Linked DNA regions of Sus scrofa. The protein of the gene in region 1 interacts with the protein of each later gene in a pairwise test. Links are inferred from orthologs where the notes say so. Each region holds a gene or a part of one and is shown in the gene's direction. Other genes may lie near its edges. The genes, in order: POC5, CETN3 and CETN1.

Region 1 (5,722 bases):
TTTTAATATTCTTTTCCATGATGGCTTATCATAGGATATTGACTAGGTTCCCTGTGCAGTTTAGTAGGAGTTTGTTATTTTTTAAAATATTAATATATATTTAAATTAAAGAGCTATGTTTTTCCCATGAGTGCAGATCAAGTTGTGGTAAAAGAGAATATTTATGTACTTCGTCATTCTGCATTTGTCTTTGGGTTCCTAGACCATCTTCAGAACATGTTTTTTTTCTAAGTAGCCCAAACCATTTGTTGATACATTTTTATGCAAAACATGTATTAAGAAATGGTTTTCCCTTTACAAAGTGTTCTTGAAAGATTTACCTTTAAATAGTAAATTCTACAGTAGATTTATCTTTGACTCATTCAGTAAGGAAAAGAGGAAAGCCCTTCAGTCTTGGTTATTAGAGCCCTTATAACAAAAGTGAGATACATGAGAAATTATGATGAATAGTCTCTAATTCCAGTGTACATGTGTGATAAAATAGCAACTTTTCTATTTTTGTGTTTTTAAAGATAGATGCCAGTTCTCTTTCTGGCTCTGGCTCTCATTCCTACCTCCCATGTTCATGGGCAGAGGGTGGAAGTGCATCTATTTCTCATCTATATGTTGAAGGCTAACAGAGTGCCTTACAACTGTCTAATGAACTAAATTTTTAGTCTCTTATAGTGTTGAATGTTAGTAGAGTTAAAACCCACCCCATTGTTTTGCATAAAGTAATGACCTATGTACAGTTAGTCTGACCTTGGTCCGTTACTTAACCCTTTCTAAACCTCAGTTTCCTCATCAGCGAAATGGAGGTAATAATACCTTTTTCTTAGAGTAGTGTGTGTTATGAGAGCTAATCTTATAGTGTTTTTACTACAGGAACATAGAAAGCACTTAGTAACTGTTGATATGATGATGTGGATGATAACACTTTGAACTCAGGCTACACCTAGATATACAAACCATCTTTATTTGGAGACAGGTCATTTGTGGATGGGGGAGGGAGGTGAGTTTTAAATCTGTGACAACACTAAAGTTTAAAATAACCAGATTAAGGACACTGAAAGGCCATTTCTCCATGTTTTCCTCAGCCTCCATAGATAACTGACATCTTCTAGCCTTCCAATATAACTTCTTGCCAATTTGGGTTATTTTCATTTTAGCTGACCGTTCCAACTTTTGTTTTATTCTAGGCTCATCACCAGTGTCATCCCCCAGGAAGCCGCCTCACCCGGTCATGGATTTTTTCAGTACAAATCTTTTAGTTGACTCTTCCTCACCAGGGTCTCATTCTAGTCCTATAGATGCCCATGAAATTGTTGTGAGCGATTTTCTTATTTCTGATGAAAACCTTCAAAAGATGGAAAACGTGCTTGATCTTTGGAGTTCAGGGCTTAAGGTATTACACTTGTTTGATTGTAATCTAATATGTAGTGTAGCAGTTTTGCTCTTGATTCCACTATTTAGTCTGTTTTTCTTTGAATTAAAAAGCTTTTAAAAAAACAAAAAATTCAGTCCAGTGTATTAAATCTGTGCTTCTCAGTTGTTACTGTCCAAGTGAATCACCTGGTGATTCTGTTAAACTGCAGCTTCTTATTCAGCTGGCCTTGGCCATGGCCTAAGATGATGCATTTTTAACAAGCCCCCAGGTGATGGTTCAGAAACCATACTTTAAAGAGCAGGGTTTTAAATAGTTGCTGGAACAGGTCTGCATGTTCCACTGACCTTCTCAGATGTTTCCAAAGGCTCGGCCTATGTGTGACTGAGAGAGGCACCTGTGAACCTCTCCCACATTGCAGCTCTGACTAAGGGGAAGTGCAGACCCAATTTTAGCAACATATATTCTCTTTATAGCCACTCTTCTAGCAACCACAGAATATAACCAATAAATCAATAAAAACTGATTTTTATTTTGGCGATTTTAGTAGCCTCTAAATAAAACAAAGTATTACAGAAATGGCGGTTTTTTTGCTATTTAAAAAATGGTAGAGAAAACAACAGTTTTTCTGAAACATAGTTTGAGAAAACTGAGTATTCGCACACAGGGAGAAATTATGGTCAAAAGAGTTTTGTGGTATTTACATATATTTCTCCATTATATGGAACCTTAAATTCTAGAAGTACTTTTTTTAGTATAATTTCTTTTTTTTTTGCTTTTTTTTTTTTTTGCTTTTTAGGGCCTTCCCCGCGGCACATGGAGGTTCCCAGGCTGGGGTTGAATCGGAGCTACAGGAGCCAGCCTATACCACAGCCACAGCAACACAGGATCCGAGCTGGGTCTGCAGCCTACACCGTAGCTCATGGCAACACCGGATCCTTATCCCACTGAGTGAGGCCAGGGATTGAACCCGCAATCTCATGGTTCCTAGTCGGATTTGTTTCTGCTGCGCTACAACAGGAACTCCCAATCTTTTAGTACAATTTCTATTTGTTTTCCCCCATGGAACAGGTTTCATATTTCTAGTCCTGGTGTAAGTTATTGGAATTGTGTACCACCAACCATTTAAAAATTATCCTGTGTTCAAGTTAACCACATACTGTTATCTAGTTTTTTGATAGCACAGTTATTTGGCCCTTTTACTTAGGCCAGTCAGTAGGGTGAAAAGGGATCAAACTTAGCAACTTGTAAGATGGCCATTGTGATAAATGATTTGGAGGAAGAAAGTATCAACTCCAATAGTTTCTGCTCTTCTCCATCTAGATGACGCCCTAGTCCTGCATTTCTTTGTTTTCTGATCCACCTTAAGATGGGCATTTAAGTCTTTGAATAAACGAAGGACATGTGTATTAATGAATGAGACCTAAATTTTTTAAATGACACTGAGATTTTAGGACCGTTTTTACAAAGTAACTTAAAATAGGCAAAAAATCATGTCCTTAGTATGGTGCATGAACTAAGAAGAGCTGTGACTATTGAATTTGTAGATGTTTTCATTATTGGATTTTTAAAATAGCTCTGATGTTGAGTGCATGTTTTGATTTTTAAAAAATATTTCTTAACTTCAGTGTCATTTAAAGAAGCAGTATTATGGAACAAGCAACTTAATTGTCGGTACATTTATTTTTCAGACAAACATCATATCTGAACTAAGTAAATGGAGACTTAATTTTATTGACTGGCACCGAATGGAAATGAAAAAAGAGAAAGAAAAACATGCAGCAGAGGTGAAACAACTGTGCAACCAGATCAACAGCTTGAAGGAGCTGCAGAAAGCCTATGAAGTTTCCATTGGGAGAAAAGATGAGGTCTTCTTTTTCATAACTGCTTTTTCACTGATTCAGTAAATGTCTTGCTAGGTAGTAAACACCAGGAACTGATTGTTTAGATCATACATGATACAAAGAGTAGATCATTTTAGAAACTGGTGGACCAATAGATATATAGAAATAAGATTTATTCTTTATATTAAATATGCCAGGCTCATGTCACTTTATTGAGTGCATGCTCGATGCGGGAACACTAGTTTTTTCTTTTCAATCTTCCTTCCTTCCTTTTCTTCCAACAGTACCACATTTTTTTTTCTTTTGTCTTTTTTGAGCTGCACCCGAGGCACATGGAGGTTCCCAGGCTAGGGGTCGAATTGGAGGTGTAGCTGCTGGCCTACACCGCAGCCACAGCAATGCCAGATCCAAGCCGCATCTGTGACCTACACCACAGCTCATGGCAATGTCAGATCCTTAACCCACCGAACGAGGCCAGGGATCAAACCCACATCCTCATGGATACTAGTTAGGTTTGTTAACCACTGAACCATGATGGGAACTCCAGCATTACCTACATTTTAAACCATCCTTTTAGAGGGGCATAAATATCCCACATTCTATCTATACTAAGTCTTTATTCATTCATGATGTCCTTTATTTCAGCATTTATTTCATTTTCTGTTAGCCTCTTAAGAATTTGAGAGTAGTTTCAAGTCTGTGCTATTTTTGTGCCCCCGGAGAGCATCTTGAAGAAAGCAGATGGGCAACAAATCTGTAGCTCCCCCAGGAGGATGATAGCTTTCAGAAAAGAGGGACCCACAGCAGACACCTCAGCTCCTTGTCTGCAGTTGTAGCCCTCATTGTGTTAATGAACTAGATAAGATTATGGAGTTTTTAATATCCTTTGTGGGGGGCAATGTAAAATTGAATATTTTACACAGTTTGCTTTTGTGAAACAATAGAAACTAATGTCATTCATTTTCTCTATTGCTTTCAAAACCCTGACCTAAGGTTTTTAAATATTTTAAATTTAATGTTTTTATTTCAAAATATCCCACAAAAAAAAAGTGTACATACAAGTTCAATTTTTGAAAACAAAGTGAACCAGCCATGTGCTACCACACAGCTTAAGAAATAGAATATTACTGGTGTTTTAGAATTTTTGCCCTTTTCCACTTTTGAAAATTATTTAAAGAACTAGAATAAATGTCTCTCAATAAATATGCCTAATTTACTAAATCTCTTTTTAATATGACCATTTTTAGATATATATTTTAGTTACTCAGTTCTTTATAAAAAAGAATATTATCTTAGGATTTAAAAGTCTTCATAGATTTTTTTTTTTAAAGAACAGAATAATATAACTGAAAAAGTACATCAAAGTGTAACTATTAACTATTTGCTTTTTTGAGTTTGTTGAATCTAGAAAATCATTAAACAGTTACTGAGAAATTTCTATTCTAAGATACTAAAGGCATTTAGGGACTAAAAAGATATTTGAAAACTGGTCTCTGCCCTTGAGTTTAGTGAATAAGAACATTGTGTATATGTACAAAACTCTAGAATGTATGGTTGTTTTTCTTAAATGCTGATGATTATATTTTCATATACGTAACCTTTTTTTCTTTTTTCTTTTTTCTTTTTTTTTTTTTTTTTTTTTTTTTGTCTTTTCAGGGCCGCGCCCACAGCATATGGAGGTTCCCAGGCTAGGGCTCTAATCAGAGCTGTAGCCGCTGGCCTACACCACAGCCACAGCAATGTGGGATCCAGGCCACGTCTGTGACCTACACCACAGCTCATGGCAACGCCAGATCCTTAACCCACTGAGCGAAGCCAGGGATCAAACCCAAAATCTCATGGTTCCTAGTTGAATTTGTTTCCGCTGCGCCACGATGGGAACTCCCTTTTCTCTTTTTTAATTTAAATATTTTATTATTGTATAGTTGATTTACAGTATTGTGCCAATTTCTGCTGTATAGCCAAGTGACTAGTCATACATATATATACACAATCCCTTTCTTATACTCCATCATGATCTGTCCCAAGAGATTGGATGTAGTTCCCTGTGCTATACAGCAGAATCTCATTGCTTATCCCTTCTAAATGTAGCAGTTTGTATCTACAAACACCAAACTCCCCATCCATCCCACTTCTTCCCCTCTTCCCCTTGGCAACCACAAGTCTGTTCTCTATATGAGTCTGTTTTGTAGATAGGTTCATTTGTACCATATTTTAGATTCCACATAAAAGTGATATCATACACAAACTTTTTAATGATTACAAGGATACACATAATGAAGATTTCTTTCCTCTTTTGTTCCCCTTCATTCATTGGTAAGAACTGTATTCATGTGGGGAAGTTTTTTGGTCTTTTTAAAGACAATAGTGAGATTAATTGGACAAATACAGTATTTGTGACCCATAGGTATTCTTTCTAGCATTTTTTATATTTGAAAAAAACACTGTACTAATTACTGTTTACAGGTGATTTCTAGCTTGTCTCATGCCATAGGCAAGCAAAAGGAACGGATAG
Region 2 (5,722 bases), about 13 Mb from region 1:
TCTTTCTTTTTTTTAAGGGCCACGCTTGTGGCGTATGGAGGTTCCCAGGCTAGGGGTCTAATCAAAGCTGTTGTTGCCGGCCTACATAAGAGCCACAGCAACACCGGATCCGCCACATCTGCGACCTAAACCACAGCTAACAGCAATGCCAGATCCTTAACCCACTGAGCGAGGCCAGGGATCAAACCTGCAACCTCATGGTTCCTAGTCGGATTTGTTTTCGCAGAGCCACAATGGGAACTCTGGACTGACTTATTTTTAATGGCACAGTGAAGGTCATAAATATCTTCTGTGGTAGTGGTAGACTAGCATATAGAACTAACTCAGAGATGTTTGCTATTTTCAGAATTCTATCTAGTAACTTAAAAAAATTTATACCACAGATTTAAAAATTTTTGTTATTGTGATTGTTGATTAAAGACTGTGGTAATAATGAAAATATTGTTTAAGTTTACTAAATTTTTATTTACTATTACATTTAGTATATTAAAATACTTATTACTATTAAAGTCTGAAATTGCGTGTAATTTTAATTTGGCTGTCTGAGAGTTACTATCTTGCTGAACAAAATCGCTTTGACTTTAGAGAGGTCTCCTTCCCAGACCTTTCCCCCCCGCCCACTGCAATCAGATTCAATCCTTTTTATAACTGCTTTTGGGAAACCAAGAGGTTCTTCTAATCATGAAGATACCAGTGGAATTTTCATCTATTGTCTAAGAGTGTGTCTGTATCAATGATGGTAGTTACTTTGTTAATTTGTCACAGGTGTTTTCTTTTAAATTTGAGGAACAGCCAATATTACTATTAAGCAAACAACTTTTACCTAGTTGGTTTTTATTGTTTGATTTTTATAACATCTCTGCAACTCATTTCTAAACTCCTAGGCTTGTGTTTCTGATGCTAATGTAGCCTAGTACAATTCTTGATAATAGTAGATCTTAAATAAATATGGTACATAGTTTTAAAATTTTTGCTTCTGTGATACAGTTATGTTTATCTTATAATGGGATAAATTGTTAATAATATAAAGGTTAAATTTTAATATATTGATTTGGTCTTTATAATTTTATCTCTGGAGCTTTGGGCTCCAGTATGGCATTTTTATTGTCAAACTAAATATTGACACATTCACAGCTTTAATTCTTATCTAATACTTAGTTGATTTCACAAATGAGTGCTATAGTGACTATAAAGTTTTGGTTTTCACCTTTTTTTAACTATAGTGACAGACTGGATATTGGAAAGAGATCCACATGAAGAAATATTGAAGGCATTTAAATTATTTGATGATGATGATTCAGGTAAAATAAGCTTGAGGAATTTGCGACGTGTTGCCAGAGAATTGGGTGAAAACATGAGTGATGAAGAACTTCGGGCTATGATAGAAGAATTTGATAAAGATGGTGATGGAGAAAGTAAGTTTCAAGTAAAACATATATTCCAAATATTCCTAATATATGCATATAGTAAATTTTTCTAAAACCAAATTATTTTCAAGATTCTTTGCAAACTATTTAATGTAAATGTCGTTTATCCTGTAATGGGCTTTTTGTATAAATACTACTATAAATACTACACGTACTCAGTTTAGAGTGAAGCAGACCTTTAAAACCTACTGTGTAGATTATAATATGAAGTTCCATACTTTAAGAAAGTACTTTTCTTTGAGGATGAAATATCTCCAAAATTTCAGCCACTCAGTAAAATTTCAGCTTTAATACCTTCTTCCTCAAGCTGCATGTGCATCTAAATTGTAACTAAGTTCTTTGCATCTACCTTTCAGAGTTTTTGAATCTGTTTTATTTCTTTATTGCTGCTGTCCTAACTTAGGCTCTGATTTCTTTGTTGGAATGTTATCATAGTTTCATTTGTTTTTTCCTTTTTTTGTGTGTGTGTGTGTCTTTTTAGGGCCACACCTGTAGCATGTGGAGATTCCTAGGCTAGGGGTTGAGTTGTAGCTGTAACTGCTGGCCTGTGCCACAGCCACAGCAATGGGAAATCGGAGCCGTGTCTGCGACCTACACCACAGCTCATGGCAATGCCAGACAATCCTTAACCCACTGATTGAGGCCAGGGGTTGAACCTGCGTCCTCATAGATACTAGTCAGATTCGTTTCTGCTGATCCATGGCAGGAACTCTTATTTTCTTGAATGCCTGCTGCGTACACTGTTCTGTTTGTTAACTGATGCTACCCAGTGACAAAGGCTTATGTTGTCCCTGCTCTGCACTCTATGCCTGTAAGCCTCTACTCTCTTACTAATTTATTCTAAAGCATTTTTTTCCCTAAAATACAGTTTTAGTGATTTCATTTTCCTGTTCTAATGCTTAAAATGATTACTCAGTGCCTACAGAGTAAAATCCAAAGCCTTCTGTGATCTGTCCTACCATAAGTATCTAGTTTTATTCCCCACATTATTTTTCTGCTTTCTACTTTAACCCTCGCCTCCATATAGTATGCACACTGTCACAGAATACACTCTATCCTGTCTTTTTATGTTTTGCCTTTCATGCTATTCTTTAATCCTAGAATGTTCTGTTTGCCAATTTGTTGGCTAAAATGTACATTCTGAGGTTCTTTTTAAACTCTGTTTTTTTTTTTTTTTTCCTCAAAATCCTCTCTCAGTGATCTCTGTTTAAAAATTATGAGAGCCCATTGAGGGCCCATAGCATTTAGAGAAACAAGCTATTTTGACACTTCTATATTCTGCCTTCTCTTAGGTATATACATGTGTGTCTCTCCAGTAATATTGTGAGCCTGTAAAGGGCAGACAATCATATAATGTGAAAGACCTAAGGTTTTGGACTCAGGCAGACCTGGATTTGCATTGAATCTCTACCACTTACTTAATTGCCCTAATTTTGTGCAAGTTTTCTGAGTCTCATTTTTCCTATTTATATCAATAAGAATGGTAATACCTTCCAGGATGGTTATGGGCATTAAATGAAAATAATTGAAGATACCTAGCTTTATTTTTATTTATTTATTTATTTATTTTTTGTCTTTTGTCTTTTTAGGACTGCACCTGCAGCACATGGAGGTTCCCAGGCTAGGGGTCTAATTGGAGCTGTAGCTGCTGGTCTACGCCATAGCCACAGCAATGCCAGATCCGAGCTGCGTCTGTGACCTACACCACAACTCACGGCAAGGCCACACCTTTAACCCACTGAGCGAGGCCAGGATAGAAACCTAGTCAGATTCGTTTCCACTGCGCCACGACAGGAACTCCAGAAGATGCCTAGCTTTAAATACAAGCTTATTTTCCTTTTTTTCCATCTTTGTAGTCTTCATTTTTTTTTAACATGGTGAGTACTTTGATGTTTGCCGACTTAAGCAGCAAGCAGGAGTGTGTGTTACAGGAGATACATGTTGATATAGTCCTAACTATATATTTTTACTTATATTATCTTGAAAATACTGTCATGCTTTAATAAGGAGATAAGACTGTAGCAACTAGTTATCAGTTTAGGTTTGTAGATTGTCCATTAGAATTGTGCTCTATTGTGCTTTCTCATATTTATGTGACTATTATTTAAGCATTATACAACATTTCTTTTTCTGATGCTAGCTCTATGAAGAGTACTGATATAGTTACTTATATTTTAAAACAGAAATGATTAAAACTTGAGAAAATTTAAAGGATTTATTTAGCTGTTATTCTAATATTTGGACTTTGCATCCACTGCCTTCATATTTAAAAAATTCTTGTATCCTCCCTAGCTGTTGATTATTACCCTAAATTAGCTTTAAAGGAGTCCTTTATGTAAAAGTACTTTCTTCAGTGGTAGAGCAAATCATGGTATGTCTATTTTCTAAATCTTTAATAATAGCTACTATGCGTGTCAGAAGATCAGAGTTATAAAGTTTCTTTTTCCTGTAGGAGGCACATGCAATACAGATTTTAGTTATTAGCTTCATTTGATATTAGTAGAAAATATCAATTAGGAAGCTGCTCTTAAATTCAAACTTGATATGAGTGTTTGCTTAGACAATGTGTCCATTTCTTGTATTCCTTGTTAGACTGCTCTACCTACTGTTGCTTTAGAGTCTGAGTTCACACCTGTGCTCCATTGCTAGAAAATTTTATTTTAGTGGATCCTTAAAACATTTCTTCAATCTTCACTGCTTGTCTTACTCTGCTTTAAGTCACTGTACAACTATTGCTTGGCAATCCTCCTGTCCTTTATTCAAATGACTAAGAGGCAAATAACATTTTTTTCTCCTTTTTTCCCTAGTGGTTGATTACAAATAAAATCTACCTGACACATAATCTTTTATTGTTAAGATACATGTTTTTGTGGAGGAGAAGAGAGTGGGTCATATCATATTAAAATAGCCTAAGTTTGTAGTTTCCAAGACAGGGTGTGGGTGTCTAGGGGTGGGGACCTTCTGAAGTATTGCACAGGGCTGGGAGTTCATGTATGCATCAAATATTGTCTGTAGACCTTATGAATAATAGTATTGATGTACATGCATATTTAAGCTGTTATTTTTCAGTTATTTATCTAAATGCTATTGTGATTGATAAATACACTTATTGTGTAAAATTTATAGTACCTGTTTGACATTATCTACTTCTCAAGATTTACTGAAGACAGCTGTTGTAGCAAGTCCTGATAATTATTGCTGAGGTCATTTTCATATTCAGAAACAATGAGAACTACAACTCAAATCTATTTAGTGGGACTAGGAATACTGCCTTAACTTATATTGGGTCTCTGCAGCTACCTGCAAATCTGCCCAGTTTTGAAAAAGTAACAAGTTAGATTTTATCATAATGTTAATCTGATCACTTAATCTTTTTGTTTGTTTGTTTGCTATTTTTGGCTGCAGGCAAAGTTTTGCCTAGATAGAACCTCTTTCTTTGTATATTTTAAACTATTAATAATCATAATACTTTGCTGCCTTTTTTGTGGACTTTAGTAGTTGTTCTATATTTATGAATTTTTCATACTGTTCAGTTTTTCAGAGCAATGAAAGTGTTTTTATTGTATATATAGAATAATAAATGTGATGAATGAAGAATTAAAGGAAAAGAAGACAATATGAAGTATAAATAAAGCTATGGTAATGATATAGAAAGAATCCCCCCCCCCAAGATATATAAAACAGAGTAAATCTTTTTGAGTAAATGGAAGTAACATTATTTATTTATATATTTATTTATTTTGTCTTTTTAGGGCTGTACCTGAGGCATATGGAAGTTTCCAGGCTATGGGTCTAATTGGAGCTGTAGCTGCCAGCCTGAGCCACAGCAACACAGGATCCGAGCTGTGTCTGCTACCTACCTGGCAGCTCACAGCAATGCCAGATCCTTAGCCCACTGAACGAGGCCAGTGGGTACTCCTCCGTCCTCATGGGTACTAGTCTGGTTCTTGTTACCGCTGAGTCACAACGGGAACTCTGGAAGTAACATTTAAAAAGCCAAAGTGGACCATCTTCTGAGTAACTGAGATGAATGTTAATGTATGTTAGATTCTATGTATAGCATGTTGTGGTTATTAAGCATCACATGCTAATCCCATAGCATGTTATGGATTATGTCACTTGATTTTCATAATAGCTTTTGTGAAACCAATGTATATACCTATTTTTGCATAGTGTAGATGAGGAAACTGAAGCTCTGAGAGTTTAATAACCTGTCTGATATTATTACAAAGCTAATACATGGCAGAGCCAGAGGTTAAACTCATCTCTCCATAATGACAAAGAATATACTTTTA
Region 3 (6,124 bases), on another chromosome or scaffold:
AAGCTGAATTTTGCAAGCATTATATAGACTCTGACTGATGCCAACCAAAAACACTTTGCCCAGACTGCTTCCCAGCAGAATGGGTATGGGGTGAAGCAGAATTGAAGAACGAATGTAAATTCCAAGCATATTGCTCCTCCTCTCAGTGACTCAGCCCCAATGGGTTCCTGCCTGAGATCCTACAAAATCTCATTAAATCTTTCTAGGGAAGATGATTAATTGTTGTTAGGCTAAGGGAAGAAAATTAGTATCGTACCTTCCCAGTGACACTGCACTTTGGTAATAATCTCAACTACTAAAGAAGGCAGTGTGGAGTGGTGAACAAAGCCTCAGCAGTGGACCCAAACCAACTAGGTTTAAATTCCAGAGCCACCATTTATTGGCTGTGCACCCCTGGATATGTGACAGCCCCTCCCAGGCCTCATTTTTTTTTTCATTTGCAAAAGGATGACAAGGATTAAATGAGAGGACCAAGCCCAATGCTAGGCACCTAATCAATGTAAGCTTCCCTTCTTCTTTTCAGATCACAGACTATGAACACAAAGTAACTCCCTAAGAGAGCTGACTCCGGCCAAAGGCACTGTTTTCTCCAAAAGGAGCTCCTGGTGGCCCTTAGCTGTGACAGCTGATTGCACACATCTGGAAACCATGACAACCGTTTTGCTTTGAGCTCAGCTTGGCCCAAATGTAGCTCTATATAAAGCAGCCTCTATCCTTCAGTTTTTCCCAACACATCATAGTTTGGCTTGCATTTGGGTAGAAGAGTGGATGTCAAAAGAAATGCACAATGTCTGGGACAAATTCATATTCAGCTAACAATCACCCAGCCCTGTGTGGCCCCTGAAGTAGCTTCTTATAGTCACTGTCCCTGGGGTAGCTCCCTGAACACTCTCAGGAGCCCTAATAGGAAGCTCTATTCCTACTATGCGGTAAGCATACTGCAAAGTATGCCTACTTGCAGATGTTTCAACCAAGTCTGGGTGGTTAAGTGACTTTCTCAAAGTCACAGGGATAATAAAGTTTGGTATAAGATCCCAAGCTCTTTGACCCAGTTAAGATAAAGGAGGCTTGGGACTTCCCTGGTGGCCTGGTGGGTTAAGGACCTACCAGTTGTCACTGCTGTGGCTTAGGTTGCTGCTGTGTCACAGGTTCAATCCCTGGCCTGGGAATTTCTGTATGCCATCGGCATAGCCAAAAAAAAGAAGAAGGAAAAGAAGAAAGCAAGCAAGCAGGAGGATTTGCAGGGTTGGAAGGCAGGCAATGTCAATTTATACTTGCCAAAGTCTACTTCGAGTTGACACCATTTGTGACAAGTGTTAGGGAAGGCGGGTGTTGGAGGAATGTCCCAGTAAGTTTCCTTGACCTTTAGAAAGCCTGGGCCCAGGCCCTCTGTCCATTATGTCATATATCGACCGAGGCAGGTAGTGAGATCTGGCTAATTAAGCTTGTCGTGTAAACAATATCTGATCACTAATTTTAAAAAACACTCCTAGCATATTTTAATCTTTTGGGGGTTTTGTTTGTTTTATTTTGGCAATTCAGAAGTATTTTAAGCCCATCATTAACTGTCATTTATTTATTCAACAAATATTTATTAACCTACTTAATATATGTCAAGCACTGTTCTAGATGCTGAGGATACAAAAATCCTTCAATTAAAACTCTTGAAATTGCCCTCACTTGTAACTGATCAAGTAGGGATAAATCGAGATTTTTTTTTTTTTTTGCAAGAATGCTAGAAAAAAGTCAGCTTTCTGTTGTGTTTTTTTAAATCATTTAAAAAAGGAGCGGTTCACTCTTTTTTTATTTTTACCACCATAAGCAACAATAGTTTATTCAAAATATTTTAATTATGTGCAAAGAAACATTCATTTTTCATTGATGCGAAGGGAAAACCCTAAAGATGTCCAGCCTTCGCTCAAACAAAAATCACTGAGTCCTAGCATCTACAGAGCAATTCCAGACACAATCCCTTTATGGGCTGACTTGGTGAATTTGTTCTTTCTTTTCACCTGAAAAGCCTGTTTTTCTCTTGCCCCTTTGTTCTCAGGAGGCAATTTTGAGTCCCAGCATGCCCAGTATCACCTCCTCCTGTGTCCACTGCCCAAGCAGGGCCATCAGAATGTGGTTTTCAGCACAGCCCCAACTGGATGATAAACAGTGAGTTATACGCTGATAGAGTTTTCTAAACTACCAACCCAGAAGGCGGTATTTCAGCCCCTGCCTGTCTCTCCAAGTCAAAGCCTAGTGAATGAAACTATGACCATTATTCAACTGCAATTATACTGAGCATGCAAAATGGAATCACTGAAAGTAAATCTCTCCTGTGGATATCACATCTCATGTTTCAGTGCACACCAAATAAGCTCGTGAAACTTTCATTACTGTTGAGCATAATGTCAGGAAACACACTTGTACAAATTTTCTACATAACTTTTTCCGTTTTATCTGTTTTCCATTTATGTCAAGTTGAACACATGGTGTGACTTTTAATATACTCTCTTCCTCCTTCCCCACATTTTATGTCAAGGAATCAAACTCAGTCTTGATGATCCTAAGCTTACCCTTAGGTAACCTCAGGCCAGGAGGGTTTTTTTAAGTTTGTATGGAAAAGGAGAGAGGAAGACAACCTCCAAATAACCATATTAACCTTGTCCTATGGATGCTGACAGATGGCCTGGAAAGAACAAATGCCAACAAGTTATAGAGGACAATAGTGGATACAAGCAAGTCTTGCCAGCTTGGGTAGTAATGGAGGAGACTGTGGCAGTTAAAGTGCATCAGACCTCGAAGCCCCCAGAGAGAGCACGAGGGTTGAAGGAGGGGAGGCCCCGCGCCTGCGTTCCAGGCGGGAGCGCCCCAGCGCAAGCGCGGTGAGGTCAAGCGTTAAATAACCACCGCCACCGCCGGAGGATGGCTTCCAGCTTCAAGAAGCCACAAGTGGCCTCCACCAGCCAGAAAAGAAAGGTGGGCCCTAAGCCTGAACTCACTGAAGATCAGAAGCAAGAAGTTCGCGAAGCGTTTGACCTCTTCGATGCTGACGGCAGCGGCACCATCGACGTGAAGGAGCTGAAGGTGGCTATGCGAGCGCTGGGCTTTGAACCCAGAAAGGAGGAGATGAAGAGGATGATCTCGGAGGTGGACAAGGAAGGCACAGGGAAAATCAGCTTCAATGACTTCCTGGCCGTGATGACGCAGAAGATGGCCGAGAAGGATACCAAAGAGGAAATCCTGAAGGCTTTCAGGCTCTTTGACGACGATGAAACTGGCAAGATCTCATTCAAAAATCTAAAACGCGTGGCCAACGAGTTGGGGGAAAACCTCACGGATGAGGAGCTTCAGGAAATGATTGACGAAGCGGACCGGGATGGAGACGGCGAAGTGAACGAGGAAGAATTTCTTCGGATCATGAAAAAGACCAACCTTTATTAATGTTGGTTTCTCAGACAAGCACGTGCAGAGTTGAGTCACACTTGCCGGGTTCCCTGCTTCTGTTTTGGGAAACCTTGATTTAGAGGACTTCACTGCCTCTCTCCTTACCCCCAATTTGTCTAAAAAGCTCTACTTCCAAATCTCTATCTAGCTCAATTACAGAAGTTTAAAGATGCTTTTAACATGAGTTTTGGTTTGTAATTCCCAAGGGCAGACCTGGAGTAGTTTCGGTTGAATCAAGGGTGCTGAAATTCCTGTCCCCAGGCCATGTGCCCTGCATTGGTGGACATCCATTAAAGTGAAGGCAACGTGGCTTCTTGGTTCAAAACAGCAGTGCTGTTCTCTTGGCGCTTCTTTGGTGGTCTTAAATTATTTTGCTTCATATGTAATTCCTTAAATTCAAGTCATTGTTCTTGCAGGATGAGGTGGATTCGTCAGCAGGTCATCCTAGCCATTGCTTTTCACTTAACTGAATCTTGGTTTGAAGGAAAACATCGCAGCTATTTACTGCGCTCAGGAAAGATACTGTTCTAAGGGATAGGCTTGCCTTTGGCTGGTGGTAAATTGTGCAACTGAGACTATTCTCTGACTTCATCACATGTAAACGATTCTCCATTTGTGTATATGTTATCTACTGTGGATTATCCAGGGCTGGAATGTATTCATTCTTGGGCTACAGAATAAAAACAAAATTTAATACCGGCCCAAGTAAAGTATAATTTGCTTAAGAGATTAAACTAACTAATGATTTTGAGTAAATATTTACAAATGTAAGATTTCAGTTTAGGAAACTAACAAGCGTCTGTGGGAGTTCTCTTGTGGTGAAGCAGGTTAAGGATATGGTGCTGTCACTGCTGTGGCTCAGATTGCTGCTGTGGCACAGGTTTGATCCCTGGCCCAGGAACTTCCACATGCCAGGAGAATTGCCAAAAAAAAAACAAAAAAAAAAAACAAAAAAAACCAAAAAAAACACACACACACACATATACATATATACATACAAAAATATATGTATATATTTTATATATACATATATATATATCTGTAGTACATTTTAAACTACTTATCTGTCCTTGGAAAGATCAACTAGTGTTTAACTGTTAGATTAAACTATAGTGTAATTTAGTCAGTCATTTTATTATTACTTTATTATAAGCTACTGTCTACCTTCGAATTCTTAGAACATTTTGGTTCTTGATACTTAATTTCCCCCACCTCTTGTATATGGTCGATGCCAGAGTGTCTGGCGTAGAGATAGTTCTTTATTTTATAATCCCAAGAAACTATTCACTCACTGTGGCTTGTGTACATTTTAATGCTACTTGTCCTCTGTTATAAATGAAGCCTTTCTAGGTTCTTTGTTTGTTTGGCTGAGCCTGCAGCACGTGGAAGTTCCCAGCACAGATAGTGAACTTGAGCCACAGCAGCACCCTGAGCCACAGCAGTGACAATACTAGATCCTTAACCCACTAAGCCACCAGGGAACTCCAAGTCTTTCTTGTTTTAAAATAAGATATGTCACCTTTTGCACATTTACAAAAATGAAGTTGGAGAAAATTTAAATATAATTGTGGGAAAACTATATATCTACTGAGATGGAGGCCTACACAAATGTTTGATAATAGACAACAAAACCATTAAACAAGATATTTTGGTCACAACTAAGCCTAAATTAAATCTTCATACAAAGTCCCATTAAAATAAATGCTGAAATTCTGGAAAATTTTTCACTTGCTTTGCCAGCAATTTTACCCTTCAGAGAGTCGGGAATCTAATTAGGGGAACAACTACCCTGGGTTTAATTCTCATTAACAGGGACTGATTTGTCAAAGCAGCAGTACTAGCTGAAGTGATGGGTATGTGGGCATTTACTGTGAGAAAGGATTTTGCTGAGGTGGCTGCTACAGGTCAGAGGAACACACCCATGCTGCAAACGCTAACAGTTCAGGTTCAAGGATTCAGGTGGATTGTGGGGATATTGTGGATTCAGGTGCAGTTGAATACAGGTGCAACTGGGATCAGCATCCGTGTGAAAGGCCTGAGTTGAGGGCCAGGGGAGGAGGGTGGCATTCTGGTAAACAAGAGTTCCTGGCATCCTGTTGACCCAAGTCTTGGACCAAGGATCTACATATGGATCAAGGTAGGAAAACCAGAAACAAAGAAAGTTGGCAGAGACTAGAAGAGAGGGTCAGAGCCTCGGCCAGCTGCACTGGGTTCCGTCTTGGCTCCCAGCCCAGCAAAGGAGAGAAGCAAAAACCAGGAACCAGGGCTGAAGCCCAGCTGTCGGGCTGCCCAAATACCGTGGGGTCAACTGTGGAGGCTGTAGCCCCATACTTAGAGGGTTGCATTAAGGACACAGTCCATCCCACACACAGGCAGGGGGCTCCCATCCATTGCTGAGGAAGAACCTCTAAACACAATCTTGCTTCTCAATTGGCTCATATTATGGGGCATGGAGGGTAAAGCAGTGGCAGGGGGCAGCTGCCCAGGCCTAGATTGACATTTGAATTTTTTTTTTTTTTTTTGGTCAGGGATTGAACTCACATTCTCATGGATGCTAGTCAGGTTCGTTAACTGCTGAGCCACGACAGGAACTCCCATGACATTTGAATTTTTTTTTCTTTTGTCTTTTTAGGGCCACACCCGGGGTATGTGGAGGTTCCCAGGCTAGGGGTCTAATTGGAGCTGTAGC

Evidence for each region.
Region 2: the proteins of POC5 (region 1) and CETN3 interact in binary tests that used the Homo sapiens proteins (3 or more experiments, as listed by UniProt). The link is inferred for Sus scrofa from reciprocal best matches to the Homo sapiens genes POC5 and CETN3.
Region 3: the proteins of POC5 (region 1) and CETN1 interact in binary tests that used the Homo sapiens proteins (3 or more experiments, as listed by UniProt). The link is inferred for Sus scrofa from reciprocal best matches to the Homo sapiens genes POC5 and CETN1.

Annotation. Positions count from the first base shown.
Region 1 is NC_010444.4:84,709,376-84,715,097, reverse strand, and holds part of POC5 (centrosomal protein POC5), read left to right. Parts: intron 1-1,178; coding exon 1,179-1,384; intron 1,385-3,054; coding exon 3,055-3,231; intron 3,232-5,673; coding exon 5,674-5,722. UniProt on the Homo sapiens protein: Essential for the assembly of the distal half of centrioles, required for centriole elongation. Acts as a negative regulator of centriole elongation.
Region 2 is NC_010444.4:97,578,610-97,584,331, reverse strand, and holds part of CETN3 (centrin-3), read left to right. Parts: intron 1-1,223; coding exon 1,224-1,415; intron 1,416-5,722. UniProt on the Homo sapiens protein: Plays a fundamental role in microtubule-organizing center structure and function. As a component of the TREX-2 complex, involved in the export of mRNAs to the cytoplasm through the nuclear pores.
Region 3 is NC_010448.4:105,738,255-105,744,378, reverse strand, and holds CETN1 (centrin-1), read left to right. Parts: upstream 1-2,152; 5' UTR 2,153-2,913; coding exon 2,914-3,432; 3' UTR 3,433-4,191; downstream 4,192-6,124. UniProt on the Homo sapiens protein: Plays a fundamental role in microtubule-organizing center structure and function. Plays a role in sperm cilia formation.